4 linked regions of the Caenorhabditis elegans genome follow. The protein of the gene in region 3 purifies or fractionates together with the protein of the main gene of each other region. This does not show direct contact. Each region holds a gene or a part of one and is shown on either strand. Other genes may lie near its edges.

Region 1 (8,702 bases), on a different chromosome or scaffold from region 3:
TCCGTCTAGTTTTTGTTATAAGCATTGTAACACAGTAACACAAGAAGTCTTAGAAAGAGGAATTGTAAAAACACACGAGCACATAAATATATGTCTTAAAATAGACACAGAGTTCCCCTGCGTAAAAAAAGTTGGACTGGTCAAGGCCAAGAACAAAATGTTAAGTGATAGGAGATGGACAAGGATGCCAAGTGGGTATGCGGTGAGAGTCGGAGAGGGCAGGCACATCCACGGGAGCATCCCAAGTCTCTGTACTAGCGGGACTCCGCCGCCGTTGCCGAGGCTGCATTGCCAACTCTAATCACAGTGTGACAAGAGGCGCGCTTCGGAGCGTTACACAAAAATCGGCGCCCTCCCTCCCGCTTCTCTCTTCCTACCGTGCTGTGTACTAGAGGCGAGAGGATAAAGGAGAGAAAGAAGGTCTCGGAGCAGGAGCGCGCCCCCGCGGGAGTCCAGAGCAAGTAGATATGACGGCTCAGATTGATGGACCAGAGAAAACAGAGAGACAGAGTCGAACCTATCACTATCAATGATTATCAACATGCCTTGGCTCTGTGTCTTTCTCGAAAGTTTCGGCAGGACCACTGTTGCTTCTGCTGCCTGATCACCTATCGATCCGTAAAGTTTACTGCGTGGGAGGACAGCTAGCCAGCCGACCACTGATAGTGAAAGAACACAAATATCTCACAGAAAAAGGTCCCACAGAAGAAAGAATAAAAAGTAACTAGTTAGTTCGGGGTACATTGGATAGATGTTAATAGATTTGATAAGAGATTTATGAATTTGGCAAGCTTCTCAAATACCACCCAATAAGAATATACATATACATAAACCATAACAGCTAAAAACGACAGAAAACCTATTGCACAAAACTAATTTCCCAATAAATCATCTAAAAATGTAAAACACACACATCATGATCGGGGAACATATGTTCATCCCGTGAAACTGAAACTCATGCAATCTCAACGACTTGCATGGCTGATCCAACGCATCTCGTGGAACCTATCAGAAATCTATGACTATGACGGAATGAAGAAACGTGCGATTTTGATTTTTCAAACAAAAAATGAGCGCGGGTTTAGTAGGGGAGGCAGATATGATAGAGCCGCAGTGCATTGAAAATCGAAATCGGCACTTATCTCAACAGTATCTTTTTTTAATAGCTCAAGTTGACAAACAAAGGCTCGCACCCCCATAGAGTAGGTGGATAGTGGAAGAAAAGGAACTCTCGCTTTCTCATTGACAAATAAAATTTCAGTTACCTGGCGCCACGATTCATTCAATATCATTCTCGAATCCGATCTAAACTCAATGTGATCATATCACAAAAAATACTCCTAGAGGAAAGGAAAAGCTGCAGAAGTATGTGTATACTTGAGACAGCCTTTTGTATTTTTGAGTGGTTGTGTGATTTTTTTTGAATGAACATTGATGATATCATAAAAAGCGGGATATGAAAAAAGAAAATTGAGCAAATAGCTTAAAGAATTTTGTTTGGCAAATGAAATGTACATGATGAAGTTAAATAGTTTTAGTTATTGGTAGAATTCTTACCAGGTTGATTTATATCTTTCTTACAACTACGCCGATTTGTTCTCAAAATAATCGGCAGAGACAAACAATTTCGCAAAAACACTTCAAAATTAAAAAAAAAAAGTTCCGAGAAATAGATAAAATCGTTGAGTACATGTCCTACATAGATCAATATGCAGACGACAAATAGTGTATGATCTCATCATTATCGGCTTCACACGTCCCCCCGAAGTTCTCCTTAGTTTCCATTTCCCACCCACGTTTCATCAATTTCGCCTTCGTGTTAGACGAGCAGATAAACGTAATACGAATCGCGTTGGCATATGTCGCGAAGATATTTGCTCATTTAACCGACCGAGCGGGACCTCCTCATACGCTTTGGAAAAAGAAATTTCCCTGCTAACACACACGCTAAGACCCCACAACTGTTCGAGTTGACTGTTCGGGCTTCTGCGGCTTTTACGAATGGTCCCTATCATCATCATTTGCTTGCGGAGGAGTTGGTGGCCAAGTGGAACTAGAGATAAATGAGATTTATAGCCTAGATGGAAGGTTAGAAGACTACTTTCTTAATTTTTTACGCGAGAAATGAAACGTATATATTTGATTCTACCAGTTCTCACATTTTAATTGACATTCATTTTTTAAAAATAAATTTAAACTCTACAAAATAGCATGAGACAAGAACAGTAGAGTAGCAAAAAAAACACTTTTTCTAGCGACGCTAATTGTACAACAAAAAAATTGACTGAAACCGAACACAATGTAACTGTTCAATTTTCCTTTTTCACTCTAGAGAACAGTGCAAAAAACTGGTGGTGAGCGAAAGAGTACACAAGAATGTGAAGCACAGTCCCAGAAATTTTGAAGCAGCCATCAGCACAGTCTCATTGTGTGCAATATGAAAAAGTAAACGGAAGGAAAAAAGAGTAAAAAGGACAAGATGAACAGTGCAAGTAACAAATTGTTGTGCGAGATCTCTGCGTAATGAGTTCATAGCATAAAAGAAAAGTGGTCTGGTCAAAGCGAACGAGTGCAAAGAAAACAAATAGTTACGACAAGAATACATAGAACCCCCAAACATTCATTGCAGAGATGTTCGGCAATGTCAAAATTCGGAAATGTTAAAATTGCCAACCTCTCAAGGTTTAATTATTTAATTTCAAAATATACGACTAGGCTTGTAAATTTTTGAAAATATTCAGAAAGTGTCAAAATCGTAGCTCAGTTTGGATGGAAAAAATTATTCGTTTAAGATTTGAGTTTTTGATTCGAAAAAATAGAATGCTATACCACTCAATTTATTATATATTATTTGACCTATCTATTTGTCTTATTTTCAATGAAAACTTTCTTCTATTAAAATCATACTAGAAAATATACAATTTGAGCATTCACTGGAAAATAAAGAAAAAAACCCTAAGAAAGTGATTGTATGTATAATAGTAACTTCCGAAGAATGATGCATTGATGCATAAAAACGACGGGACATTTTTATCGTGTTTCCCCCCAAAAAAAATTGTATGAAAGCAAATCCTGCGTCGTCAGTCGGCGTCACTTCAATAAATATATACGTACAAGCAGAAACCTCCCTCCCGACCAATATTGTTGACTATTCTTCACAACTTGTTGCTTTTTGCCCTCCTCTTTTCCCTATTTCTTTTCTATCAAGTACTATATTTCTATGTTTGTCGGGAAAAGAGCGCACGGTAATCTCTTGCTCATTTGTTTGTTTCTAAGATCATGGAGGCGCTGTGGTTGACACAGTGTGCAGACCATTCGATTTAATTTCCAATACTGTTTTTGTTTATTTCTTCGCTTATTGATAACTGACACAAGAACAAATAAGTACTCACCATCAAAATAGTAATCATCAAGGTCTTCACTCTCTGTCGATGTTCCAACTCTGCACTTAAATGTTTTCTCAATTTGAGTACATGTAAATTGTGAATGGACTATGTACTGTTTGCAGCGGAATTGATGTTGATTGAGATCTAAACGGGGCATTTTTGACGATCGTGGATCCTTACTCTGAAAATTACAAGCCATTATTTTTTGGGAAATTAATATTTTGGAATAGTTTTGAACACTTTTGTACGTTTTCATGTTTTCATTTTTTGCAGTTTTTGCTGTGTAAAACTTTGATATGAAACATGATCTGTTTAAGAGAAACTGTTGAGAAAATACAAGATTATACATTTTAGCTTTAAAAATTTCATGCAAAGCTGTGTAAAACACGGTGAAAAAATTTGAAAAAAAAACTGGCTGATGGGTGTTAATTCAAATAGAAATTGCCTACTTTTTTGCCAATTTATGTTTCAGTGACGATTTGAATGTTTTATTGGTTTTTAAATATGAAATGTTCTCTATAAGGAAAGTTACTAATAATTTTCCAACAATAAGAACTCTTTCAAAAATTATCTTGAAAACATATAACAACTGAAGTTTTATTTTTATTTTTTTGTTAAATCGTTATGTTTAGTAAAAACTTTACATTTTATTTTATTTTACAGTTTATTGGTTCTTCTTGGTTTTAGTTGGAAATATTATGTTTGAAATTCATAGAAAGTCGGTCATGTTTTACTTTTTCACTAACTTTTATTAATTTTTATGTCACTAAACTAACTGTTAGTTAAATTTGTAAGTTTTAAAACTCACTGGTAACAGAAGTGGCCTTTTTAACAGTTTGAGAGCCTCGGTTGCATTTGTCGTGTTGGAGGTTGACACGTCGATATTATAAGGTAATTCACTCTCTGTGGCTTTTTTACTAACATGCTGTTGCTTAGCACCTGTCCTCCCTATGAAAATTCTCTTCCTATGGTTACTCGTTGCATGCGTTGATTGCGGGGTCTTCTGATTAAAATCCGATGCGATATGAGACCTCTCATGCCTCTCTTCATCATCTGACTGCTCTCCAAATTTTTCTACCTCTTTTGTTGAAACTTTCGGTAGTTTTGTGTCAGTCCTGTCACTTAATTCTTTAGAAATATAAACTGAATTGTCATCAGGTTTCATTTTCACTGGTATTATCGTCACTTCTTTGCTCGTACTGGGCGGTAACTTTCTCAAATATTGCTGCACACTTTTGTTTGAACCATTTTTCGCAGTTAATTTTTTCTGCATTTCTTGGCGTGTTTTCATCAGTCTTAAAAAATATTCAGAATGCTTCGGTTTTTCCGTCATTCCTTTTTGTTCTGAAAAAATGAATAATAGAAACATTTTTTAACGTAATCGAACATACGATTTTGTGAAATGAATGTTGTTGGTTTACTTCTTGTACAAAGGTTTTGATTATCTGAAAAGTTAATTTTATCATATTTGAATTTTGTCTTTAAAAAAATACAAATCGTATCCATTAACACCTACTATATGATCTGGGTAAGCTGTAAATTGATGTTATCTCTCCAGGCAATGGGGTTGAAGTTCTTGGGTATTCATTTAGATCTGAAGTTGAAAAATTATAAGATAATTGACAAAAACACTTTACTTACCTTTGCTAGTGCATTTAAAATGATTATTGATTTCCAGATCGTCGAAACTTTCATCAGCCTGAGTATATATAATATTTAGCGTTTTATTCTTTTTTTTTAAAATTAATTAGAGTTATTGCTTCCTTATAAGCCAGAAATTTCTGAATCGGGAATGTACGCAATATGTCGTGGGGGTGTTTGCACAAGGATACTACTCAATAAGTGGTAACACTGCACATCTCACTGTGATTATCGGTTCTTATTAAAAGTGTAAAGACTTGTGTTAAGTGAAAACACCAAGTTATTAGAATAGCAAATATTGCATCGAAACGTTGAAATTTTACAAAAGTTTTGACACTTACCAAGATGGAGTCGGAAATTTTAAAGAATGGTGCTAACGATGCCATTCTTATGGAGTTAAACTGAAAAAATTAAGATTTGTGTTGTTAATTATAGAAAAAAGGACGAGAATTGAAATAAAGGATGAGTGAGGAAAAAAAAGCTTGATGGACGGAAAGTAAACAAAAACTGATACACAAAAAGTTAAATAAACAAAAAGTGAATGAAAAGTTTAGTAAGTAAGTAAGTATTGTAGGTAAACGGGAACAGATGACTTTGTGGTTTTCAGACAAAACAAAACTTTTAAGGCGAGTTTTTTTAACCATTGAAATAATGAAACAATAATTTGATTTGGCTTTTTGAAATCTACCTAATTGTTGTCAATAATTAAAGTCAAGTTTAACTGACTTGCAATTTTGTTTTGGTTTGAACAATTGGCATAGTTTTAGAATGTATATTGTTAAGTGAGAACTTTCATTGAAAAACCATTTTCTCATCTCTGTAATCAAAACCAACTAATTTCATAAAAGTCATAAATTGAAGGTTATCATAATTATGAATTGATCAATTTTTGAAGCACCTTCGTGATAAAACTGACCACAAAAAAACTAAATGATATCGGCGTGTACACATGTGGTGTTAGGCCTAAAATCCGATATTTTCTTTCTTTTCGATAACTATGAGATCATTGTCGGCGGTAACGGGAAGGGTGACTAGGGGTCTTTTGCAACCTGGAATTGTGGGTGACCGGCATCGAGGATGACCGACATCGTGGGCGACCGTCGCCGTGTAAAAAAAAACGCACAAAAATGTGTTTGATGAATTGGGATTAAACATAAACTGATAAACAAATAAGCTATAACATTCGAACTACTTGGAGTATTTGAATTCGCAAATGGGAACACTACTTCTGTGCATTAAAGTAAAGTTTTCAGATAAATCAAACATTATCAACAACTGAAAACATTTTCGATTTAAAACTTTTAATGCTACTTAGCTATTAACCAAAATTTGAAAAAAATTTAACTTACTTGCCGGTCCTTGTAATTTGAAAATTAGATAGTGATGTTGAAAAATGTTCAACAGCTTTTATTTTGAAATGAAATAAAAATACTAATTCTAATAAAACAAGACATTAAAAGTTTTCAAAAAAATTTAAAGGATTGGAATCGGTCGTAATAAAATCGGTTGCATTCAAATTACAATGAGAAAACAACTTTTAGAATATATCGACAAGTACAGTTGGGTAGCCAGCATGCAAAACATCCAATACTTTCATTTTTCGATAACTATGAGATTACCGTCGACGGTAACGGGAAGGGTGACTAGGGATCCTTTGCTACCTGGCATCTTTGGTGACCGGCATCGTGGGTGACCATCGCCGGGTAAGAAAAACCTTAGAAAAGGTGCTTAAAGGTTGGATGGTAAACGTAAACTAACAAACAAGTATGCCGGGACATTAAACTAAAAACTATATTATTTGAACATAAGTTCGCCGATTTTTCAGGATATTAATAAAAAATCACATACCGGAAAAAAATTCAATCAGAATTTCTAAATGAGATTTAATTATCACCAATCACTCAAGAACCGATATTGAAACATGAGTATACTTTGTAAAAAATTTTGTTGCTCCCAATTGAGAATTAAAAAACAACAATATCGACAAATACAGTTGTGCTAGCAACAATACCTAAAAATCCAATACTTTCATTTTTTCGATAACTATTAGATCACCATCGGCGGTAACGGGAAGGGTGACCAGAGGTCTTTTGCGACCCAGCATCGTGGGTGACCGTCGCCGTGCAAGCTAGAGATGCGTTGCGGAGAAGAGAATTAGACAACGCCAGAGTTCAACACTACGAGACGAAACGACATCACTATTCAATTCTAAACTGTACGTACTAGCCACCTGCCTGGAGAACCCGTTGAAAATCGACTTGATCGATATTTGGTGAAAGGGTGAAAAGTAGGAGACACGAGAGGGGGAAAGATGTCAATGAGGACAGGGGAAACGTATTTTCGAGAAAGTTGACCTTATCGACCTTGAGCACAGATGGCTCGTAATAACAAACTGAGTGCAGCCGAAGACATAATCGGAAAAAGCAGCCGATAAAAGTTATAAATACATTCATCCAGAAACACCAACTGATTTTAATAGTGGAGTAGCGCCATAGGGTAAATTGCTTAAAAAAACATTTTTATGGTGCAAAAATGATTAAATATCATAGTAACACTTATTTGAAAGTTTTGAATAGTTTTTTGTTGACAATCAAATGTTGCAATTACTGCATTTTTGCAGCTTATTGAAAACAAAATTATAGCACTGCAGAATGCTCAAATCACTGTAATGTTTGAATATGAGTATTTTAAACATAATTAGACTATTAAATTTGTAGGAATTGTTTAACTATGTTTTATTATGACTATGTTAATTGCTTCCCCTATTCCAGATATTATCATATAGTGTTCCTTTGAAATTAATATAAAATAATTATTTCAGACAACCCTGCATACATAGAATGTTATTTGGTATTGTCAATTTTTGGTTTTCTTCAAACATGTTCTTCCAGAACTACTTTTACGGTGAAATTACAACTTGTTCATTTTTCCAGAGACTCTTCATGTGGAAACATTAGTAACCTTTTTTAATGTTGATGTGCACAAACATTTTTTATCAATTTTTGCCATAATAATGCGGAACTTTGTTTAATAACATCAACAAACACAAATGATACGGATTGTTCCTGTTGTATTAAAAAATTTTATACCAGCTCTCTCTTGAATCTTGAAATTTATGACTTTCATTCCAAAAGTTACACATTGCATACGAAACCGCCACTGATAAATCTTTAACATTTATTACCCTCCACGTATCGTGTGGAGCAATTATTGCCATTTTCAGTGTGATAAAACCTTTCCTTTTTCCGGTTTACACAAAATATGAATTTAAATTATATAGTTTAGTTATTATTTTTGTTTGCAGATGAGCAAAAGCGGCTCACTACCAAGATTTGCGGACGAGTTCGAAGACGATGACGATATCGAGTTAGTAGAAGGCGCAGATTTTGGCAAGAAGTAAGTTGTTTAAAAAATTGTTTGAAAATTGTAGATTTTTATTTTAGCCTTCGAAGTTTCGGTATTCGTCTTGCTATTTCTTTGGTTTTAATTGGATGTGTAGCTGGAGCTGTGATTTGGTCTTTTGTACAGGGTTAGTTAGTGGCTTTCACTGGTATCTCCAGTCAGTAAATTTAGAAAAAAGTATTTTGAAAGATTATTGCTACTTGGAATAACACTGCTTAAAAAAGCGCCAGTGGGAAAATTGTTAAAAACAACTCCTATGGTCAAAAAGTTACC
Region 2 (7,681 bases), on a different chromosome or scaffold from region 3:
AGGATTCAAAACAAGAAATATGAAACACGAATTCAAAAAACATTGTATGTTACAAAAAAAAACAAAATACAAAAAGTTTAAAACCAGTAAAATTAAGAATCGTGTGAATGGGACGGAAAGAAACAAATAAATCAGCACAAAGATGGGGAAAATAATTTTTGAGAAGTTGGAAGAAAAATACATATTTAAACAGGAACAGCTGATGTTGCAGTTGCAACAGCTGCAGTTGTTCTCGATTGTCGATCCGCCAGGTATTTTTGGTAAAGATCGCGGAACCACGTGGGCGCTCGTGTTTTGTTGCATTCGAGAAACTGAAAAATTATCATGATTGTTTGAATCTTTCGATTTTGAGAAAGAAAAAGAACCTTTAAATATTCGCGAACGAGGCGAAAGTCCTTATTCTGGTCGATAATCATGTATAACTTCAGTTTCACTCCAATAATCGAAGCGAGGTTCTGCAACTCCGTCTCCATAATTGTTTGAAAATATAGTGGATGCGGAGAATCAAACATAACGATAGTGTCGACGGCGCCTCGGTGAACAGCGCGAATTGATCTCCAGTCGATCACAAGCACATCGAGATTACCCGTGCGAAACTCAAAGTTTCGTTTTTCCACATCTTCTTCGGAGTCGCATCTGCAAAAAAATAAATATGGAATAAAAAGGACACTATTTAGAATTGAACATACGTTGTAATTTTATGAATATTATAACGAAGGTTCACAGCTAAAGTTTGCATTTTCAGCCTCAGGTACATCATCACACGAATACATGTTTCCGTCGTTCGTGTTATGACGAGAATGCGTTCACGGCGGGGTTCTGAGAAAAATTTTATACCGAGTTTATAGTTCATATCAACTCACTGTCTCTCCGTCCAGATCTACCGTTATCTGCCGCTCTTGCATCTCTTTCTTTTTTGATCAACATGGTTAGTATCTTCAGTTTTTGTGTTGATTCGGTCAAATATTGCTGAAAGAATGAAAGATTAATTCAAAATTTAGACTCAGTAGTTACCGAGACAATTGCGGGACTTATATTATTATTCTCAAGTGTGCTCTCCTGGGTCGGAAGTAGACTAGCAATTTCACTGATAGGACGTACCAACTTGCATTCGATATTGGAAAATACATCACGAACTCTGGAAACATTCTAAGAATAGCACAAATTTTGCGAATATTGCTCGAACCTCGGATTATCAGCTTCAATGAGCACAGGTCTTTCCATTTTACCTTTGCAAAACTCGAGTGTTTCGGTTAACGAGGCAACTGAACTTGAGAAATGATACGCGAAGATGAATCGTGTCAAAGAACTTTCAAAAGTTTGAGCGAGACGTCCGAGTGAGTCGGCAAACTCACTGTTCCCCTTCAACTTCTCGGCATTATTAATGATAACAAAACGTAGAACAGATATAAAATCATCCAACTGTTCCATTTCATTCTTCAGCTTATCGATATACTCTTTGATTTTTTTGAATGAACCAATGAAAACTCTAGATCTATTCGATGTCATGAATTCATTTGACAGCTCAGTTGTGTCTAGATTTGTTATATGTGTATTTGGACGAGTGGAATTAGAACTTCTTCTCTTGTTGAGTAGGCCTCTCATTACAGATTTCGAGCGTTTACCGTCTGTAGTTATAATAATGCATCGCGGAAACGGTTTCTGAAATTAGAATCAGTTATCACTTCCACTAGCTTGGCTAACCCTATGCGAACGAAATCTGTCGATGGAGTGCAAGATGGGTTGTCCGTAGTAAAACTCGTGATTTGGGCCTGAATGAATGCAAAACAAATGTTCGCCGTTGTGAAAACGCCCGAGACTGCAATATAAAGCATCTTGCAATGTTCTCCATGGACTGTAGCCTCGGCGGCCACTGAAAATATGAATGTATTTTCAGAATTAACGACGGGATCGAATGACCTGATTGAAAACTTCATCAGCTTCCTCGTTATTTGCAGCGACCCGGTTTCAGACGATCTCACATACGCTACTTCTTCAAAGTATTAATTTCGATGGTATCTTTAGTATGATATTTCAAACCTTCTCTTGAAGCTGCCGGTCCCCACTCTGGGTTATGCGCTCGAGCCTGGAAAACATGAAATAATTGCAGTCATTCATTAATCTCAACTTCTTTGACCGAAAAACATGATCTCCTTGCATTGCCCAATCCATCAAGATCAAAAGCATTCACGACACCTGAAATGAATAAAATAAATATCCCATTTAGCTCATCAAAAATTGTCACCCATGCTACATATGCCGATTCCATTGGAGTTATCCATTTCTTTGATACTTATCTAAATACTTCCATTCAAATCCTGTTATTTAAACCCGTGCGCGATATCTGAACAACTCCGGAGTGTTTTTCAATGCTCGACTCGCTCCAGCAATCGATAAACAGAATGGGAATCGGTTTCGCTGCGTTCAAAACATCGGCCGGAATATTCTGGTTTCTGAGACAACGAAACGTGAAACATCTATCAAGTTTTCAACCTTTTTTCGAAGCCATGATTAGTATCATAATTTAAAACCTGTTTTTTTGCTTGACGTTTTTGCATATTTCAATCAAAACCACCTTTCATATCGCTTTGATTTTCAATTTTAGAACAAAGCCCCGCCTACAATTGCCTGATTTCGTTCTACGCGAGCTGTTTGCTTGCGAATCGATAAAGTGTCGGTTGTGTGGCAAGTGCGCTCCACTGTGCAGGTCTCGCAGCGATTGCCATTTTCCACCGTAGTTCCCTCCAATGTCTTCTCCATTTTCGTAATTTTTTGGTTCGCCCAAATTTTTTTTCGTCATTTTTTGCCTGAAATGTTCGTTTCTTCTCAATTTTTCTTGGATTTTAAGAGTAGATTTGAGAATAGTGGATGATTCTAGTCGATTCAGATCGACTGGAGCGTGATTTAAATCCATGACTCTAAGTGAAATGGGATAATTCTCAATCTTACTCGGCTCTCCCACGGCTGAGGTATGTATTTTTCGTAATTTCGCTTTTCGTTTTTGTTAAATAATCGATTTTTGTAGTATGGGACGTCCAGAGTTCAATCGTGGCGGCGGCGGCGGAGGTAAACTGAATTTCAGGATTTTTTCGTATTATAAATATTATTTTTCAGGTTTCCGAGGTGGACGCGGTGGAGACCGTGGTGGTAGCAGAGGTGGATTTGGAGGCGGTGGTCGTGGAGGATATGGCGGAGGTGATCGTGGCAGTTTCGGTGGAGGTGATCGCGGAGGCTTCAGAGGAGGACGCGGAGGTGGAGACCGCGGTGGTTTCCGTGGAGGAAGAGGCGGTGGTGATCGGTTTGTGTTTTATAATTCTGTTCGCCATCAAAACGATAATTTTTCAGAGGTGGTTTTGGTGGCCGTGGATCACCAAGAGGAGGATTCGGAGGACGTGGATCTCCAAGAGGCGGAAGAGGATCACCACGTGGTGGACGCGGAGGAGCCGGTGGAATGCGAGGAGGAAAGACTGTCGTTGTCGAACCACATCGTCTCGGTGGAGTATTCATCGTGAAAGGAAAGGAAGATGCTCTTGCCACAAAGAACATGGTTGTGGGAGAGTCCGTGTACGGAGAGAAGAGAGTGTCCGTCGATGACGGAGCTGGCTCAATCGAGTACCGTGTGTGGAATCCATTCCGTTCTAAGCTCGCTGCTTCCATCATGGGAGGATTGGAGAACACTCACATCAAGCCAGGAACCAAACTTCTCTATCTCGGAGCTGCTTCTGGAACTACTGTTTCCCATTGTTCTGACGTCGTTGGACCAGAAGGAATCGTTTATGCTGTTGAGTTCTCTCACAGATCTGGACGTGACCTTTTGGGAGTTGCCAAGAAGAGACCAAACGTTGTCCCAATTGTCGAAGATGCCAGACATCCACACAAGTACCGCATGCTTGTCGGTAAGTATTAAATTTAAGCATTTTTGTGTTTAATATTTATATTACAGGAATGGTCGATGTCATCTTTTCTGATGTTGCTCAGCCAGATCAAGCTCGTATTGTTGCTCTCAATGCCCAAAACTTCCTTCGCAACGGTGGACATGCCGTCATCTCTATCAAAGCTAATTGCATTGACAGTACTGCTGAGCCCGAGGCTGTATTTGCTGGTGAAGTCAACAAGCTGAAGGAGGAGAAGTTCAAGCCACTTGAGCAGGTAACCCTGGAGCCGTATGAGAGAGACCACGCTGTCGTGGTTGCTGTCTACCGCCCAGTCAAGGGAAAGAAGGTCTGATCTCCAAAATCATCGTTACATTTTTTTGTTTTGTTATTTTGTTACATGTATACCTCCATCTTGATCGTTAACACTTGTTTTACTTGTTTCCCAATAAAATGTTGTTGATGCTGTCATGTTAGGGATGTTTTACTTTTATCTTTACTTGGTTCTCAACCTTGCCGATATTTCTATTCTACTTTAATTGTAACCTTTATTTTGTTCTTTGTTTAATATATTATTACAGGGTAATGACGTCTACCGTGCAATCGGTTCAGACCTTCGGGCGCAAGAAGACTGCCACCGCTGTCGCTCACTGCAAAAAGGGACAAGGACTTATCAAGGTCAACGGTCGCCCACTTGAGTTCTTGGAGCCACAGATCCTGCGCATCAAGCTTCAGGTTTTTGTTCCGACATTAAATTCCAACTAACTTGTATTTTTCAGGAGCCACTTCTCCTCGTCGGAAAGGAACGCTTCCAGGATGTCGACATCAGAATCCGTGTTAGCGGTGGAGGACACGTTGCCCAGATCTACGCTGTCCGTCAAGCCCTTGCCAAGGCTCTCGTTGCCTACTACCACAAGTACGTTGACGAGCAGAGCAAGAGAGAATTGAAGAACATCTTCGCCGCTTACGACAAGTCCCTTTTGGTTGCTGACCCAAGACGCCGTGAGTCCAAGAAGTTCGGTGGACCAGGAGCCCGCGCTCGCTACCAGAAGTCTTACCGTTAAATTCTTTTTGTTGCACAATAAAATTGTTATTGAAAAAAAAGATTTATGAGATCGAATTTAAAAAGATTTAGAAAGTGAAGCTGAGCAAAAGCATATCAAGGACAAAAATGAATAGTATTCCGGCGATGAGGTCCAATCTTGAGTGTTTAGTTTTTCTCGTGTAGGCAACTTCGAATTGTTGTATTGGTTTAGAGCTTAAAATTCAATCTTATTCTGGTATGGTATAGAAACACTCACCAAATGCACTCAGTTTGAACTTCGCTGATTCCCGTTCCGTTTATTGTACACGTTGATCTCTTCTGCCGAGCACGACTACATCGAAAATCACAACATGAGTTGAACATTTCACATGACGAATAGTCTGCCTGAAATATTGGCAGAATTTTTTCAGGATGAGCTAAACATTTCAAACCTTTGATATGCATTCCTGCGTGTAGACTTTTAAGGATGCTTCAGTGTTTGATACTAAACATGGAATCAGGCAGGCTGGAATAATGATGGCAGTTATTCGCATTATAAAATATCTGAAATTAAGATATGCTCCTTCTGCTAGACTGGATATAAATTGAGAAAGTAAATCTACAGAGAGATTGCAGTGGAGTCAATGTTTGAGCAGAGTTCAGCATACAACAATCGCTAATTTGACAGTTTTCTCTGCTTCTTTCAATTGTGAACTAGTATTGAGCTAGATTGAAAAACCAATTAATCAATTTTTCAGGAACTGCAATCAAACACAACACTGATATGCGGAAAAAGATTGAATACTTTGTTCACAGTTTGTTTTGAACATACGAAAACAGACAAATGACATTGACCCAGAAGAAATCAGAAATTTAGAGAAAATGAGTGGGTAACTGTTAACGAAAATTCGAACGAAAAATTTGAGAGAAAGGCAAAGCTGATGTGGGTGTGTTTATCAGTTTTGCTAGTTATAAGACTAAAGTATTTTTATTATTTATTATCTCGATAGGAATAGTTGTCAAATAATAAAAACAATATATATCATTTTATTGATAAACGGAAATGAATTTTGACCTCGATGATTAACGATAAACTGAAAACAAACAAAAAGTAATCATGTGAACTTTAAAGTTTTTCAACGTTTGAATGGAAAGTAGTAGAAGAATGGAGGTGCATGACCTTCCCCTTCGAAAATGGACGTCTTCAAATGCGATGGGGTCAGTTTTAGACTGTCTCTTCCTTCTCCTTCTATTTCAAGGTTACACAATGGACAGCAGATGCTTCGTCTTTTTTCTATGCCCACTGCACCTGCTTTTACTATTTATTGATAGAACATATATATTTTTTATTTATTTATAAATACTCAACAAAACAGAACGGTAGTGTATAGAAAACAAATCAAACTGTTTAAATTAACAATAATAAATTTTTCAGAATATAAATTTTCAGAGGAAACGTGGAAGATCCGAAAAGAATTATTATCCAGACGCAAAATTTTGCTAAAAAAATACGGTGTGCGGTCCTGACACGGAAATTTCGTCAACTGCAAAAGGGTGTGTGCCTTTAAGGAGTACTGTAATTCTCAACGTTTCGGTTCTGTAAGACATTTATGTTTCCTTAAAATTTTGAAATTGTTCAATTGAAACAAACGGAAATCGCATAAAATGTCATGGATTAAAAACCAAAATATAAAATTTGAAATTTTGACAGTACAGTGATCCTTAAAGGCGCACGCAATTTTGCACTTGATAAATATTTTTGTGTCGAAACCAGGTATCGTACTTCTCGATTTGGAAACATATTGTTCGTAGTGAAAAAGGGTTGCGCAGGTTTAGGTGATACATAAATTGCGATTTGAAATACTTGCGCTCTGAAAAAGTTCTGAAAAAAACGAAATTTTCAAATTCATAGTTGCTATCTGTAAGTTACTTTTTTTAACTGAAGAAAACACTTTAAAAATAATTTATTTTATTTCTGTGCAGTTCACTTCATTTTCGGATCTTCCATCTTACTTCCAGCAGTTGGTGGCAACTTTTCGGACGCTTCATTTGATCTTTTCGATGTATCCGAATCATCATTGTCATTCCAGTGCTTGTACATGAAGTATCCTTGTCCAATGATTGCCAGAAAAGCGATGACGCAAGCAATGATAAGTCCGATGACAATTGCATTCATGCCAGATGATTCTTCAGTCTTGAATTGAAAGAAGCCCGCCGAGCATTCTTTACGTGAGTGTGAAGCGCGGGACTTTGATTCCAGTATTAACAGGTCACGACTTCTGAAATAAATTTCAAATAATCATTCAATTAGTTTCAACTTACGAGGTGACTTCCGTGTAAGCTGCAGATGGGAAATTGTCATTCTCAAACTGCACATCTTCCTGGAATAAATTATTGTTAGGAGTATCTATGCAAGCCTACGGAATTTTTCGTTTTTTTCTTTTTTACTTTTACTTTTTCTTGTGTTATTTGTATAATACAATTTCAAAAATCGAGTTAAATAACTTCGCTTCAAGACCGGGTGCTTATTCTTGGAGAAAACCTCGAAGTCGGCTTTGTGTCGATTTACGAAGCTTGCGTACTCCCCGAGGAGAATGATTGAATGTTTTTGCATTGACAAAAGAGAAGAGTTGAAATATAAGCAACTAGTAAAACATAGCAAAAACCTATTCCTCGTGGATTACAGAAACCCCGTAAATCGACACATGGCGATTCTGACACGGTCATTCTTGAATCTTCATGTGTCTTTAAAAATAGCTGCAACCCAAGATGTACTCTATAAAAT
Region 3 (8,185 bases):
TTCTTCCTTCGTCCTTTGGTTTCTCGGAGACAAGACAGTCGAGAGCTTTGGATTTCCGCAATTTCGATGGAGCTGCATAAGTAGACGGAGCACCGCGTGGGACTTCAATCGCATCCTCTTCCGAGTTTCCGTTCAGACGCTCCTTGGATCTTCTGCAACATAAAATATTAATTTTCTAATACTTAAGAATCTCAAAGTACCTGTCCTTCTGAGCGAGCTTCTTCACTTTCTTCCGGAAACTCTTGCTAAGCGTGCTCTCGCTGTTGAATCTGGCTCTCATGCAGCTCACTCCCTTTTGTTGAGGATAATCCACCATCATATCCATGTTATCGGTGCTATCCGCGGAGGAGTCGTCGGTGTTTCCGGAGCAGAAGCTTTGAAGCGACGTCGCTCGCTTCCGGCCAGCTTGTGAGCGCATCGCATTGATTTGCTCGCGGAACATCACTTCGCTGTTCAACGCCATACCTGGAAAATAAATAAGCTTATTAAACGGCAGAAGAGACAGGAAAAACGATTTTGGGAGAGCACAAAATGGAAATTAGACGAATACGCGGATTTTTAATAGAAAATAACTGCGAAAAATACTGTTTAAACAACTGAACGGAAAAAGTCGAAGTTTTAGGAGAACAAAGAAAGAAAAAATTTCGGAAGTTTCCAGAAAACAAGTGCAATCATTTCGCTGAGCGGACAAAATACAAAATTTCGCGCTCTCCCAAGAATGTAGAACAAATTGTAGAACAAAGGTACGGTAGCAGATAATGTGTGTATTTGCGTACTTTTTTTTTGCATACCGTACTTTTCTTTACTTAATCGCACATTATAACGGAAAACGCATGTTTAATTAAAAATAGATTTTTTAAAAATTGTTTATAAATATTCAATATACGGAAAATCTGATTATGCACTTCGTGGGGATCGAACCAGTGTCCTGCTGTGCCTCCCTTATTCCCCACTGCACCATCAACCACTGCTGTTTCGCAGTCTCCGTCTCCTCGACAACACACACTCGTCGCTTCTCGCTTGCCTCGAAATGTGTCGGTACACACGTTTGGGTAAGAGGAGAGGACTCGTTGGTATCTTCGGTTTTAACCCAGTTACTCAAGGTACGCTGGAGTTCTGACCTTTCGAAAGAAAGTGTCAAACGACTTTAATTTTTGGAACCGCTCTGCTGGGGTCATCCGGTAGAGCAAAATAATTGAATCCGATTTTAAAAGTTTATTAAGTTTTATGTGCATTAATGACTGACTTGCAATTCTTAGCGAGAACTGTTGAGCTATGATAGATGGTGCGAGTTTTATCCTTTGTGAACACTATTTGGAAAAGGTTTTATTCACTTGAAATCGTTTCAGGGAAAGAACATGAGAAGATTTGATTATGCTTTAGCTAAATTCCAAAAAAAAAAATTATTAAGACATGCGGAAGAAGAATTAAACCAGGATATATCACAACTTGGGAAGGAATCAACAAGCCAAAAAATAATGAAAATTATTCAGCAAACATGGTAGAAAGTGATGAGAAGAAAATATAAACACACAAAACATCACATAAAACGCTAAACAAAAATTTAATGAAACCTTTTTTCCATTTTTTAAATTGGTCCATCAATTTTCTTGTTTTATGTGATGCGATGCATGTGTGCTAACAAGGAAGTTTATTGGAATATTATGAAAATGAGAAAACAAGTTCACAAATTGGTAGAATATGGGGTGCAACAATGAAATTTTTAGAAAGGTTTAGCAAGATGAGCAATAATCTCGTGCTTTCGTTCCTCGGTCATCTCGTTTTTCGTGATCAGGCCGTCGAGGATCTTCTCCATTGTCAAAAAGCTGAAAAAATTTGATTTTTAATTAAAACGAAAAAGCCTCACCTGAGGAAGTTAAGATTATCTTCTGCGAGATTGGCAGTTGCTCCCTGTTGTCTATCCAAAACAGCTATGGCATCAGTGACCAACAGATTCTCATTGCGAATTGCTTCTGCTGTCTCACGAATTGATTCACCTGATGTGACGACATCTTCGACAAGAAGTACTGTACCACCAGGCTGATAGACTCCTTCGATAAGTTGCTTTGTTCCGTAGGCTTTGGCTTCTTTTCTTTTCATAAGCATCGGCACATTGAGAATATCAGATACAAGCTAAAAACATTGAGTCTCATTTTTTAGTGTGAATTATTTCTGAAAACTGACGGTAGCAAGTGGAAGGGCAGCATATGGTACTCCAACAACATAATCGAATTTGAGGTTTGAGGCGACAATTTTCTCACACATAGCTTGAGCAGCCATTCGGAGCACACGAGGAGAGCTCATTATTCTGCGAAGATCTATGTAGATTGGAGTCATCTGGCCAGATTTGAGGTAGAACTCCCCAGTGCGAAAACATTCCATTTGATAGAGATTCTCGAAAAAATCAGTTTCCTGGATTGGTGAAGCGGCCTGGACTTTCATGACGACTGGATCCTCGATTGAGTGATTTCCGTTGGCGGTAGCGGTGGCGGCGGTCATTCTGAATTTTTAACAATTTTCGAATATCAATGTGAAACAGGTTATTTTCTTTCAATAGAAAAGTGAACAAATATCACTTGGTCAGATGAACCAGGTACGTGATTTGAAGGAAGAAAAATAAATAAATAAAAATGTGATATTCATGAAACAAAACAAATCAATTCAACTTTAAGAAAACAAAAATCACTCTATAAATCCTAAAACTGTACAGAAGAATCGAGAAAACAGACAACGCAAAGTACGAAAAGATAGCCTCGTTTGATAACACTATCATAAGGAGGTGTGGCCAAAAGTGCATTGTCGGCGATCTTCGACCCGTAAATTTAAGTCGATTACGAATTTCATGTCTAGGGCCTTGGCGGAGCAATTGGGTAACTCTTCGGGATACTCTTCCACTCCTTTTCAGTACGTTTGTAGATCATCTGTCGCGTGAAATGACCCATCTTTTGATTTTCTCTCAAATCCTTGACTGCTTGACGTTCGGCAGGAGATTTGAGGATTTCTTCCAGATTGCATTCAACCTTTGGAGCCGGCAGTGTGTCCACTTGAATTAGATCGACTTGAACCTGAAAAAATATGGTTCAGATTTTTGTAATGACCAAAAAGTGACAAATTAATTTAGAAAAAGAACAAAACAACATTCGAAATGAATCTAAACAAAGAAAACTTTTAAACAATAAGACCCGATCATACATCAACATCAGATAATATATAATGAAATTTAACTAACTCACCGTGTCCAGGTCATGTGTCAAAATAGACTTTGTTTTCTGTCTAGCTTCCCGAGACATGTGCGCCTTGAAGAGGAAGAAACTGCAAAGAACAAACAATTTTTTTAAGATATATAGTTTTTAAATATTACTTTGAAGCGTAGACGGGCTCATTTGTCTGTTTGGCCAGCCGTTTATACGGTAAATCTCGATGACCCAGTGACTCAACCTTTTCAATTACTGCTCCGTGATCCAGCAAAGTGTTTCCAGCACGCGTTAAAGCTTTAACAAGATCTGCCTGAAATAAAGAATATTCTCATGATTATACACATTCTCACGCTTCATCGTGTTTTTTCTGTACCTTTGACAGAGATCGTGTGATCATGCTCACTTCATAAAACGGCATTGTTGTTCTCGCCCAGTATGAATGCTTTTTCTTCACTGAAAATATTTTCTATGCTACGAATTTGGAAATATGTCAATGAAAATCACGATAAGAAATCACAGCACAAGCTATTTTTCCAAAATAGGAAGTTGCCATTTTTCAACGACAGGCTGTGAACACAAGATTATTAAACAAAAATTTACTAGAACAATAAAATAAATGTTCAATTTTCAATTTTTCGCATTAGAAAGTTAATTTTCCGTCATTGCAATCGAAAAAAGTTAATTTTAAAGTAAAGAACCAGGAAAAATAAAGTGGAAATACGGGATGGGTCTCACCACGGCCAGTGTCGATTTACGGGGAAATTGCATGCGCCTTTAAACGATGATATTTCTTTTTTGAACGGGAAGCGGGAAATTGTCGTTTTTAAGCATTATTTATTTATTTCTTTTCATTTTTTCATTCAAATTATATTCTAGATACGTTTATGGCAGGTTTTTCCGCAATGATTAAGCGTTTCTCACTGTTATGTCGATTATTAACGTGTTAAACTGTTATGTGTTGATTTTTTATTGTGATAAATTTATTTTCGTTTTTTAGAAGAATGGCTCCAACTAACAAAGACGGAGATGTGGCGACTGTCAAAGCTGTAGATGTTCTCAAACAAAAGGCTGGAGCCCATCATTGCCTTGGAAATGTTCATGCAAACCTTCCCGTTAATAAGGTTAGCATACCTGAGCGAGAAAATTCGATTTTAAATAAACACAATTATTTAAGGTGACCGTCCATCCATTGGTTCTTCTGAGTGTTGTTGATCATTTCAATCGTGTCAGCAAAACTCAAAGCGTGAAGCGTGTTGTTGGAGTCCTTTTGGGGTCCATGAAAAAGGACAAAACTCTGGATATTGGAAACAGTTTTGCTGGTATTTTTAAAAATTTATTTGCTTACTTATAAAGTAATTTTCAGTTCCGTTTGATGAAGATGACAAGGATAAAAGTACATGGTTCCTCGACATGGACTATTTGGAGAGCATGTATGGAATGTTCTACAAGGTTGGTGAATTTTGAAATCTCGTTTTTATTTAATTTTAAACAAAAAAAATGAATTTACAGGTTGCCGCCAAGGAAAAAATCGTCGGATGGTATCATACGGGTCCAAAACTTCACAAGGTATATAAGAGGCAAAAAAGAGACGGGGACAACGCGCGTAGTGGTCTAGTGGCTAGCAGGCACACACTCTGCGCCTCCAGCCATTGGTTCGATTTCTCATTCCACTCGGGTTTGTGATGACTGCATACGGATCACTGGGCTCTGAATCTCTATGAACCGATAATATCCGTTCTGATACCCGTTTTTACGGTTTCATGATCGATGGAGCGCGAACTTGTTTAAATTTGAAATTATACTGTGCAAATAACAACAAAGCAAAAAAAAAAAAACTTAAAACAAATCAAATCAAAACTTTTGAAAAAAATCGAAAAAAATGCAGTGGATACCTGACAAAAAAAAAAGAAAAAACCGTGTCACAGTGTTGCGAAATTACGCTCCGCCTTACTTTCTGTGCCACCCTGATTTTTGCAAAATTACGGTGTTCAACTTCAACAGTTTAATTAATTATTTATTTATTAATTTTACAGAACGATATTGCTATCAACGAGCAATTGAAACGATTCTGCCCGAACCCGGTTCTTGTAATTATCGATGCTGAGCCAAAGAACATCGGATTGCCAACAGAGGCTTACATCGAAGTTCAGGAAGTTCACGATGTACGTTTCAAAATACTGTTTAATTTTTTTTCAATATATTGTTTTGTAGGATGGAACTCCACCAATCAAAACCTTCGAGCATGTGCCTTCAGATATCGGAGCCGAAGAAGCTGAGGAAGTTGGAGTCGAGCATCTTTTGAGAGATATCAAGGACCAAACTGCTGGAACTCTTTCACAGCGTATCACCGATCAACTTATGGGCTTGAGAGGACTGCAATCACAGCTTGAATCCATTGAGAAGTATCTTCATGATATTGTGCGCGGAACTCTTCCAGTCAACCATCATGTCATTTACTATGTTCAAGAAGTTCTCAATCTCCTGCCTGACGTCACTCATCCAGACTACATTGTTTCACAGAATGTGCAAACTAATGATCAGCTCATGTGTGTGTATATGGGATCTCTTGTACGATCGGTGGTCGCTTTGCACAACTTAATTGATAACAAGGTGATTTGCAAAGATTTTAAAATTTATTAAAAGCTATGATTTTTAGATCTCTCTCCAGAAGGCTGAAAAGGAGCAGGAAACTGGCGAAGCTGAGAAAAAGAAGGATGAAAAGGATAAGAAAGACAAAAAGGATGAAAAGAAGGATGAGAAAAAGGAAAAGGACAGTAAATCATCAACCCCTAATACTCCAAAGAAGTGATAAACAAACTCAGAACATTGATTGTATCCTCATGTCCACTTCTCCACCAATCTCTTTTTCTTTTACCCTATCGCATCATATACATTTAATTTATTCGGTCTTTTATTTTTCTGTGCATCAATGTAGTATTTTATCCCCGGTATTTAGATCAGTTGCCAATAATTTTTCAGAAGACAAAATCTAATAACTTTATTAGAAAAAATAACAAAGATAACATCCCCGTAAAGCAATGGTAAATATCACGAAGAAAGGCATGGCTTATTAAATTAGGAGTATCCAATGTGGATTTAAAGATCTTTTTGCTGATGCTTGATGTAAATGCCTTCGGCAACTTTCCATGCACTTCCACCAGTGATCGAGTCGGTGCCGACGACCTCCCGTTGTCCATGAATGGGGCGTCCGAATTGTTGTCCCGAGAGTGAGAGGTATGAACCAGTGACAGCGTGGCGAAGTTTGAATTGCTAAAGTGAACAATATAGGGTATTCAAAACGTATAGATAATATCGAAAAGGAATGTAACAAACCTCGGATTCCAACCACTCATCTCCGTTGCAAATCACAGTCCAATCATCTCCCGTGTCACTTTCTGCTTCGCTGCCAAAAGCGGAGACCTCCTTTAAAAAATCAAATTATTCATTTGTTTTCTCGAATTGCCAAACAAACCTGATGTTGTTTGGAGAGAGGTGCAGTGAAATGATGGGAATGCAGGAACGTGCCCGTGGTGAGGTGCTTCAGACGGATCTTGTCTCCGCATTTGATTGCATCTCCACGATTGCATTTTGCGTTCAAAGCTGAAGTAAGAGAATGTTCGGTTTTCTTTGTTCTTTTTTTTCAAAAAGCATTAATATACACAAATTATTATAGTTTAAGTTACTAGGCGTTAACTTCCAAATAACTAACCTGGGAAAATCTGCCAATGAGAATTGATGTCGTCCGAGTTTTTTACAGCAGTCACAGATTGTTGGCCGGACCCGCTTCCGTATTTTACGTCATGCGAATGTAACCTGAAACCTTTTTGTTTCAAACAAAATCTACTTTTTCGAAGGGAAAATGCTCATTTTCTCAGGAGATATTCTTTAATATTTACTGTTGGTGGCAACTATTTATTTAGTGTCATTAACTTTACCGAGTTTCTAATATTAGTGCAAACAATTTTAATAAAGTAAGCTGGCTCACGTACCTAGAGCCATCATTAGCATTTATAAACTTTAAAACGCTGTAGCACGTCACAAAGTCTTCATCGGCGTATGCAAATGAGGCGAAGAATAGAAGTGGAAAACTGAGTAGTAGTGGCAATTTCGGCATTATTTTGGTTCCCTGTAATAATATTCTGTTTTATTATTCCAAACTTTCTAGAATTTCATAGAGAATGTAGCAGAAAAGATTATAAAAAGAGAAGCTCCTGCAAAAATTAAATCAACGTCGCTTTGCACGAGATGTGCGTCAACCAACGTACACCATCGACAATGACGTCAGTAGCCGCTCTTGACGTACTTTGTTCCCAACACCTTGTGGTTCCGCAGTCAATTTTTTAGCTGTTTGGCGGCCAATTGACGCGACACCGCTTATAAAATTTATATCACGAGACCTTCTAATCTATGTTTGTTTGAAATCATAAGGGTCTTATCACTTTCCATTTTAAATTTGTTCTCTTTTGAAAACTTAAACCTTCTACTTACAGCTCAACAGAAAACACGACGCATGGGTGAGCGAGAAAGGTGGAACAGGTGATGAAGCTCAAGCGGTTATTGATATTTGCGTAAGTTTTTTATTGTATTCATATAAAATAATCATTTAAAAGTCGTTTTGATGAACTGAAGATGTTTTCACTAAGAATTATCCCAAAAATGAATTTAATTGCTAATATTTCAGCGTACTACTAGTACTACCCAACATAAATGCTAATCAAGAAGTGTCATTTGTAAAACACTGGAAAGACATTTTACTGACTGATGGAGAACATAGGTAATCTTTTATTTTTAAAACACAAATTCTTACAAATTTTTTGAAATTTCAGTCCAATTTGCGCATTATCTATCGATGGTTGCGCCAGGTCAGCCCCGTACAATGTTTCGAAAAAGATTATGAAGGCTTCGGGTAATAATATTTATATTTTATTCCATAAATAAAATATAAATTCAGTAAATGCATCGGAAAAGGATTCGATACCCGAGAAAAG
Region 4 (7,314 bases), on a different chromosome or scaffold from region 3:
TTCTATATGCCGCCTAGACCTTTCAGTGAGAAGAACACGTTGCCATTGGAAATTGAGAACAAACGACTAACGGAGCGTATTCAAGAGCTGGAATCGTTGGAGCCGCTGAAAGGGGAGCTTATCACGCTGAAAAGTAAAAATGGCGTTTTGGAAGAGGAGAAACTATTCGCCACCAAGCAAATTGAAGAGCTCCAGCAGCAGATTGAAGATCTTCAAGAGAATCTTCTCAAGAACCAGGAACACGCTAGCGGCGACGTTGTTGGTTTAAAAATTCAGCTGGAGAAAGCAGAAGTTGAAGCTCAACAGATGAGAGAAGCTAAAATGCGTGCGGAGACTAACCAGGCTCAAGTTGATGAGATACTCAAAAAACGAACTGCTGAATTGGAGGTCAACGCGACTGCTCTGCAAAAAGCTAAAGCAGTGATTGATGAACTGGTATGTGATACATGGAAATAGGCACATTCATTAAATATTTGTATTTTCAGGAATACAATTCTCGTCCAGTGAGTGAAGACAGTATGACTTCTGTTCAAGCTTTCAAAGAAATGAAAGAAGAAAATGAGAAGCTTCGCCAGAAAGTTGAAAAATTGGAGATTGAGCTCAATACAGTAACCCAAGGATTCGAACAAGAGAATCGGCTTTTAACGAGTGCCTCGCATCAACAGGTGCCCCAACAAATTGAAAATCGGAAAGAAAACATTGTTTCAGGTTTTGAATCGATCTATCGACGAAGTGATGAGCATGAGAGCACACGCTGGATCCGAAGAGCCGCAGACTCTGTTGGATACACAGAAAATGAGTGGAGCACTTCCATGGAGGTAATAGTTTTCATTATTTTTAAAAGAGAAATCTAGAAATATTAATTTTCTCTCCCTCCTTGCGGTTTCTTATCATTTTATTTTTCTACGGTTTCAGATTTTCGTGATATTCCCACTATCTCTCTATGTTCCATACAAGGTAAATGTGCACGTCTTTTGTTTGCACGAATCTGAGTTTTAGTGTCCTTTGTGCTCACCCAGTTTTTTTGTTTCCATTGCGCCCTCAATAACACCCTCACACCACTAATTTTTAGATCACTTGCTTCCGAGACCCGTCGAGAATTGCCGACGGCGATGGCTAGGTGAGTAGGAGCACTTTGTTTTAATGTTAACTTTCTAATACGCTTTACGCTTGCACCCTTATGTGACTGATAACAGCTTTTACCACTATGACATTAACCACAATTTTATTTTTAATCTATTTTTATTCCTTTGTTTTTTTTTCAGCATTCTCGTCCTTGGATTCCTCGTCTTCATCGCCTGGATGTTCATAAACATAAACAGCGCACTGAATGCTCCTCCAAATGCCTAATCATCTCTACATCCCTTTGTTCTTCTGTATTTTCTGTCAACATCCACCATCATCATGTGTATAGTGTGCTTTACCCTCATTTGTCCTTTTTTCTCTCTTTCGTGTACAGTAATGTGCTCCCCACTTTTCTGTTTTCTTTTCGGGTATACGGCACGGGATCCGCAAATTTTCTTTCTTCTACCATTTGACAGTTCCCCCATTTAATTCCTTATTTATTTATTGTAACCTGCTTTCAGACTGATATCTATGACAGGAAAGCGGTGAGCTCCAGGCTGTGATACCCAATCCTTGCTCCTCCAAAAAGTTCAATTCTATGTCATTCTAGTTTCTAATCATTCAGTTTAATTGATTAATTTTGAGAATCTCGCGTTGTTTTCGAACACCGAGAAGTGTCTGTAAATTGTGCAACCCCCGCCTCTCCCGCCCACAATCTACAGTTTTTGGCGTTTCCTTCCAAAAACTGTACACATTCTATTCATATAAATTTCTTCTGTTCTTCTGACTCCTTGAACCCTTTATGTGTTCACAGATTTATTTTATATTTTTTGATGAAGAAGTTTTTACAAAAGATGTTTTCCATTTGTTTTGCATATTAAGAAAGGCCTTGCCTATTAGTACCTCACGTTCTCAACTTTTATTATAAAACATTTCGTATTTGATTCAGAACCAAATGAGATATGGACTCAGTGCTCAGAGGAGTCTGATCAATGTTTGTAGTAGAAGATTCTTCGGGAAGGATGCCAAAGAACAATTTCTGAAGGTATTTAATACTGCAATCATTTAGCCAACTAGAGACCAAGAATGCTCATTTTCAGAATCTTTCATCTATTCCCGCATCGAAACATCCTCGCCTAGTCTCGGATTCCGACGCGAATTCGGCAATGTCTGTTCTGATTCCGCTTGTGACTGTTGACGGTCGTGATTCTGTGCTTCTAACGAAACGATCGATTCATCTCAGATCGCATCGTGGTGAAGTATGTTTTCCAGGTGGTCGAATGGATCCAGGAGAAACTACAACTGAAACTGCTCTCCGTGAAACGTTTGAAGAAATCGGGGTTAACGCTGAAAGTGTGGAAATCTGGGGTCATTTGAAAAGTGTGATAAGACGGCAAGCGGATTTCAATGTTACTCCGATTGTTGGATACATTTCCGATGAGCGAGTTCTCGAGAATCTGGTGGTCAACTCTGATGAAGTACAAGCTGTTTTCACGATTCCAATTGATGAACTTATCAAAAAAGCCGGACTAACTAAATTCCAAAGCAAGAGAATGAAGTACACACTGCCTTCGTTCGATTCCACGGAGTTCAAGGTTTATTTTTTAAATAATTTCCGAAAAAATGTTAAGTTTTTCAGGTCCATCACAATGCTCCGAACGAGTATCTTCATTCCACCCAGCGAGTTTGGGGGCTTTCTGGTGTAATGTTGCATCAAGCATTGACCCTGCTGAATCCAGATGTCTATAAGCATGATTTAATTGTGAAATTTTTCTAATTCTTAGGATCTGTGTAGTATTTTTTTTGTTCGTAGAATTGTTGCCATAAACTTCGGGAGACTAAAGATAAAACATTTACAAGTCATAATGGGTGATAAATGTATTCTCGATATTGAAGAACCAACACAAAAGAATTTAAAAGTTGAAAAATACGGTAACCGGTCGGTCTGGGGTGTGGGGATGAGACAGGGAAAAGAGAAACAAATAAATTAGATTAAATTGTATACACTTAATGTTGGGAACGGGGAAAATTTCTCAATCCATACGAGCCTTGATAGTTGAGACGTTAACCTTATCCTTAGTGATTGTGTACACGACTGCTCCCCAACCTGATGCAGCATCACGCTCCAAGCAAGAAAGAATCGACTGAGCAGTAGCCTCGAAGAGCTCATCCGGCTTCATGTTCTCGCGCCAGAAGTCTGTAAAAAGTATTTAAATTGAACGTTAAACAAAATTCAAAAAACTCACTTTCACAAACTCCAAGCAAGTACTCTTGTCCCGTTCCGACAGCAACGAAATCGCGTGGAGCAGATACACATCCGATAGTGTCCATGCAGCAGATATATGGCTTGTTGGTGTCGTCCAAACCAGCAACGAGTGGCTCGGTGAAATAACTGCCAAAGCGGTGCTGATAAGCCAGATTCGAGATCATCTCGGACAACACTTGTGGCTTGATGTTGCGATTCTCACGGAGCTCATACAAATTCTTGCGGAACATAATTTTCTCCAAGACTGTGCGAGCATCGGATTGGAATCCAGCAAGTCCTACGTAGACCTTGTCTGTCACCTTATGCACTTTCTTCTGATCAGTTGCAATTGTTGTCATCTGCTCTCCAATACGAAGATCCGAAGCAATGCACACACATCTGAAAAGATAAGAATAAAATAATATTTCAACCATGAAATTTAAAACTTACTCGTCTCCAGCCATGGCGACGACGGTTCCACCAGTGTAGCTCATAATCGACATTTTTGAGTGTTTTTCTGGTCTTTAAGACGAAGAGATATATCTGAAATTGAAAGAGAGTGTGAGAATGTCTGGAAATTTAATAAAACAGAGAAACAATGAAGTGAAATGAGCGTTTCAATCGTTTGGCGGACATTTTGCTTACAAATAGGAAACTGCGGCAGGGAAAAGTGGGCGGAGACTAATAGCGTGCCAGGGTTGCTGAAGAGAACCTATGGAAATCGACCATTTTCTTCAGACAGAACATGAAAAAAATTAATTAAAAACGCGAATTTATCGACGGAAAAACGCATACACGGTAAGAAAACAATCTGAAGTCAAATAGAAAATTTAGAAACCGTTGCGGAGATGTGAAATGGGTGTACAAAAGGAAAATTGATGGAACAGAATATTGAAATTTTAATAAAAGGAGGAAAAAAGAGTGGAGATCAACTGAAAATATTAAATTGAGTGATCAAGTTATAAAGAAAAAATAACAATTGTCACTTTATGACGGAGAACGCAGAAATAAGGAGAGAGCGTAAAAATGGGAGGATAATAAAATCTTTAAAAAATAAATTAACTAAGAGAAGAAAATACCGGCAATTTTTGAGAGGGGAGACAAATTTTTGATCAAAATGCCTAGTAAGCGATTGGGAAGTTATCCTCCGGAATTCTGAGGCGACGAACAAGTCGAGTTATTGGCATTTCCGCCAATCCACGTGGATTCATGAACGTCGGATCATCGTTCATCACATTTCGGTGTGGCGGGCTCAAGGAATAGTGACGTGCATAATAGTCTCTGTGCCGTTTCGTACGACGTTCATTCACTGCACTATGACGACGTGCTTTCCTAAGAGCTCCTTCACGCGACAATCCACATTTGTTCTCCCTTTCGAACTTGGCGAGACGGCTTCTCGCAGGTTTATCCGCTTGTTGAAGAATCAAATTGTAAACTTTGTCTCGCATCAAGTCACACATTTTATTGGCCTCCGGGAAGAACTTTGACCAGTCAAAGTTTGGAAAATCCTGAATTAAAAGTGTTTATTTATTGTGATGTTTCATGAAGATTTACTTACGTTCACATTGACCGGACGGTTCGGATAACAGAAGAGCCCTTCAATGAAATGCAATACATAAAGTCCACAATCATAAAAGTTGTCTTGGATTGGAGTGTTTTCAGCACGAGTCACGACAACTCTCTCCTCATCGTAAATCGTTGGATTCTTCGACGCAAATTTCATTCCAGGAGCCTTAGTGTTTTCATACAATTGAGCCAAATAAATCTTGATGCAGTGACACATATGATTCTTCTTGCTTGGATCGAGACCACTCAACGGATCGAAGAATACAATATAACACTTCGGAGCAGCTCTGGAAGCTTCCTCATTCGACATATCGACAATTGCACCCGATGGATTGATAACAGCGATGACGAGCCAGTGAAGATCTTCGTTGATCGGAATGATAATATAATCTTTGGCAAGAACATCGAATTTTCGTGTCCAACGGAGAACTCGAGGGCAATTGTCTTTCACGATTTTTATGTGTTCTGGTTCGATTGGTCGTCTTTTGGAGAAGCACAATGGTGGAAGTAGGCGAGTCAGATTGACGAATAAGAACGTGTTGCACATATGCACGGATTTCATTCTGTAATTAAATTATAATTTTTAAAATCCAATGATGTTTAATGAAACTTACAGCTCGGACGAAAGCATAAATGCAATATAATTCAGCATAAATGCCATGACGCTGTCATTCAGGAATTCTTTGCGATCCAGTGTTTTGATATCCTTGACGAGCACTGAAATTCATGGATTCTATGAGGGAACAGTTACAGTAACCTATTTTGCGCAGACAGTACTTTGCTTGGTCTCACCACAATAAAGTTTTGTTAAATGCAAATAGGTATGCGCCTTTAAATAAAGTTTATATTATTATTTCTTGGTGTTTTTCAAAAATGAAAAAAATGAAAAAAATTGATGAAAATCCAGAAAAGTCTTGAAGCTACAATATTTTTTTAAAGGGGCATAACTGTTTGAATTCAACAAAAATCCGAGTAATATTAAACTTACACACTACAGGATCCATTCCCGTTGTGCAAGAGCCAGAAGGTGGGAACGTGAAAAGTTGCGTATCTGGAGGTATTTTCTCAACAACTGGTCGAGTTGGAGGCAGCGCTGCAGTCGGAGTACTCTGAAAAAAAAAATTAAATCAAAAGAGGTTTATCCACGATGCCTACCGGCAAACATGAGCCCTGTTGTGTATTTGGAAACGACACTTGGGGAAACGTGAAGTCACCATGAGCCTGAAAATTTAATAATATTTGAAAATACCCTAGAAAAGAGCCTCGGAGCACAGTGTTTTAAATTTTTTAGATGAACAAGGGAACAGAAAGAAAAATGGGGAAAATGGAGTATTTTTGTTAGTATAGGTTGATTTCGGTGAGCAAGAGCAAACCAAACCTGTTGCCAATTATTGCTTTGTGGGAATGAACTTTGAGGATAGGGCTCTAATGGGTTGAATCCGATGGTTCCGATGCTCGAATTCCCATCTCCGATGTGCAATTGTTCGAAAGAGGCGTTGTGCACTGAAAATCAATTTTAATGATTTGAAATCAGTGCCGATCATCTAACTACCAGTGTTAGGATGAATTTCATAATGCCAGTTGTCACTGAAGGCATGAAGAGCATTTGCCATATCAATGTTGTACGCTTCTTCTCCCAAATGACTTATTTTTTCAGTGAGATCCTCAACACCATCATTTCCGGAAATGTGTGTAAAAGCGACGGATTGAGTAGAATAAATAGCTCCATTTTGTCGTTGGAGAACTGGTGGAGGAGCTTGCAGTTGTTCAAAACTGACGAAATCGTTCGGTTGCTTTGTACTTTTCATCACATCTTCATTCTCGAAATTTGACGTCGGGTGGGTCTACAATTCATTCAAATTGCAGTCACAGGACGCCGAGACCTTTGACATACCATTGCGTTATCCATATCTGGCCATCCCATGAATTCTCCCATATTTGGCTCCGAATTGATCTTTGGCATCTTCAAGTTCTTCGCACAACTTCCTTCTAGCCAAACACTCCGATCATTTCGATAAATAAGCTAGAATAACTCACTGAGTTTTAGACTTAAAATATGACAATACAACGAGTAAAGAAAATATAAATTAAATGTGAGTTCAGATAGTGGTGGAACATAAAGGGCGTTATAAACACTGTGTCCGTGGCTTGGGTATTTTAGGTGTCGAAAAATAGTTGTTTCTTACCTTGAGAGATTGTTCCGTGAGTTTCCTGAAAAAAAAAGAACTACAATTTCTGGATACGATTTTCTTTCAACTTACCTCTTCTTTGCATATGATTTTTCTTGAGTAGCAAGAGATGCATGTGCTTTGCCAAATGAATTCAATACTCTGGTTCCTCGGTGGTCGAAGCCTGAAATGAGATCAAATTAATCTTGGATTCAAATATTTTCAGCCAACCGTTTGTGGCAACTGCTGTATGTTTTCGTCCATGTGGAT

Evidence for each region.
Region 1: the proteins of rpn-8 (region 3) and dim-1 fractionate together in Caenorhabditis elegans (co-fractionation; one large-scale study listed by BioGRID). This does not show direct contact.
Region 2: the proteins of rpn-8 (region 3) and fib-1 fractionate together in Caenorhabditis elegans (co-fractionation; one large-scale study listed by BioGRID). This does not show direct contact.
Region 4: the proteins of rpn-8 (region 3) and pbs-3 fractionate together in Caenorhabditis elegans (co-fractionation; one large-scale study listed by BioGRID). This does not show direct contact.

The regions. Positions count from the first base shown.
Region 1 is NC_003284.9:8,052,800-8,061,501, forward strand, and holds the start of dim-1 (Disorganized muscle protein 1), read right to left. Parts: upstream 5,422-8,702; 5' UTR 5,414-5,421; coding exon 5,369-5,413; intron 5,086-5,368; coding exon 5,028-5,085; intron 4,981-5,027; coding exon 4,903-4,980; intron 4,832-4,902; coding exon 4,778-4,831; intron 4,731-4,777; coding exon 4,195-4,730; intron 3,568-4,194; coding exon 3,393-3,567; intron 1,910-3,392; exon of another isoform or gene 1,774-1,909; intron 701-1,773; exon of another isoform or gene 355-700; intron 291-354; exon of another isoform or gene 107-290; intron 1-106. Other genes in the region: C18A11.3 (DUF4309 domain-containing protein), read left to right, coding at 8,332-8,423, 8,471-8,556.
Region 2 is NC_003283.11:14,997,314-15,004,994, reverse strand, and holds fib-1 (rRNA 2'-O-methyltransferase fibrillarin), read left to right. Parts: upstream 1-2,885; 5' UTR 2,886-2,969; intron 2,970-3,025; 5' UTR 3,026-3,026; coding exon 3,027-3,066; intron 3,067-3,114; coding exon 3,115-3,298; intron 3,299-3,345; coding exon 3,346-3,896; intron 3,897-3,943; coding exon 3,944-4,227; 3' UTR 4,228-4,342; downstream 4,343-7,681. Other genes in the region: mut-15 (MUTator), read right to left, coding at 186-311, 366-636, 690-819, 864-969, 1,015-1,138, 1,187-1,662, 1,705-1,873, 1,921-1,993 and 3 more; rps-16 (Small ribosomal subunit protein uS9), read left to right, coding at 4,458-4,607, 4,652-4,936; T01C3.11 (uncharacterized protein), read right to left, coding at 5,004-5,130, 5,174-5,301, 5,349-5,450; irld-14 (Receptor L-domain domain-containing protein), read right to left, coding at 6,881-7,175, 7,219-7,277. UniProt on the Caenorhabditis elegans protein: S-adenosyl-L-methionine-dependent methyltransferase that has the ability to methylate both RNAs and proteins. Involved in pre-rRNA processing.
Region 3 is NC_003279.8:4,171,125-4,179,309, forward strand, and holds rpn-8 (26S proteasome non-ATPase regulatory subunit 7), read left to right. Parts: upstream 1-4,194; 5' UTR 4,195-4,198; coding exon 4,199-4,318; intron 4,319-4,371; coding exon 4,372-4,516; intron 4,517-4,560; coding exon 4,561-4,646; intron 4,647-4,706; coding exon 4,707-4,763; intron 4,764-4,872; exon of another isoform or gene 4,873-4,940; intron 4,941-5,230; coding exon 5,231-5,359; intron 5,360-5,408; coding exon 5,409-5,807; intron 5,808-5,853; coding exon 5,854-6,006; 3' UTR 6,007-6,147; downstream 6,148-8,185. Other genes in the region: Inactive protein-tyrosine phosphatase egg-5, read right to left, coding at 1-152, 201-463; R12E2.11 (Orotate phosphoribosyltransferase), read right to left, coding at 1,724-1,826, 1,868-2,133, 2,185-2,499; mrps-6 (Small ribosomal subunit protein bS6m), read right to left, coding at 2,847-3,065, 3,234-3,312, 3,362-3,507, 3,571-3,615; R12E2.13 (MIR domain-containing protein), read right to left, coding at 6,294-6,467, 6,531-6,620, 6,670-6,797, 6,907-7,010, 7,187-7,311; suco-1 (SUN domain-containing protein), read left to right, coding at 7,737-7,765, 7,879-7,971, 8,024-8,103, 8,149-8,185.
Region 4 is NC_003280.10:4,951,575-4,958,888, forward strand, and holds pbs-3 (Proteasome subunit beta type-3), read right to left. Parts: upstream 3,854-7,314; 5' UTR 3,814-3,853; coding exon 3,761-3,813; intron 3,710-3,760; coding exon 3,312-3,709; intron 3,263-3,311; coding exon 3,099-3,262; 3' UTR 2,906-3,098; downstream 1-2,905. Other genes in the region: zyg-12 (Zygote defective protein 12), read left to right, coding at 18-435, 486-665, 709-818, 1,073-1,120, 1,266-1,350; ndx-3 (Nudix hydrolase 3), read left to right, coding at 2,021-2,110, 2,166-2,660, 2,705-2,842; ulp-2 (Ubiquitin-like protease 2), read right to left, coding at 4,432-4,818, 4,869-5,439, 5,491-5,593, 5,865-5,985, 6,032-6,097, 6,255-6,379, 6,429-6,720, 6,771-6,899 and 3 more. UniProt on the Caenorhabditis elegans protein: Non-catalytic component of the proteasome, a multicatalytic proteinase complex which is characterized by its ability to cleave peptides with Arg, Phe, Tyr, Leu, and Glu adjacent to the leaving group at neutral or slightly basic pH.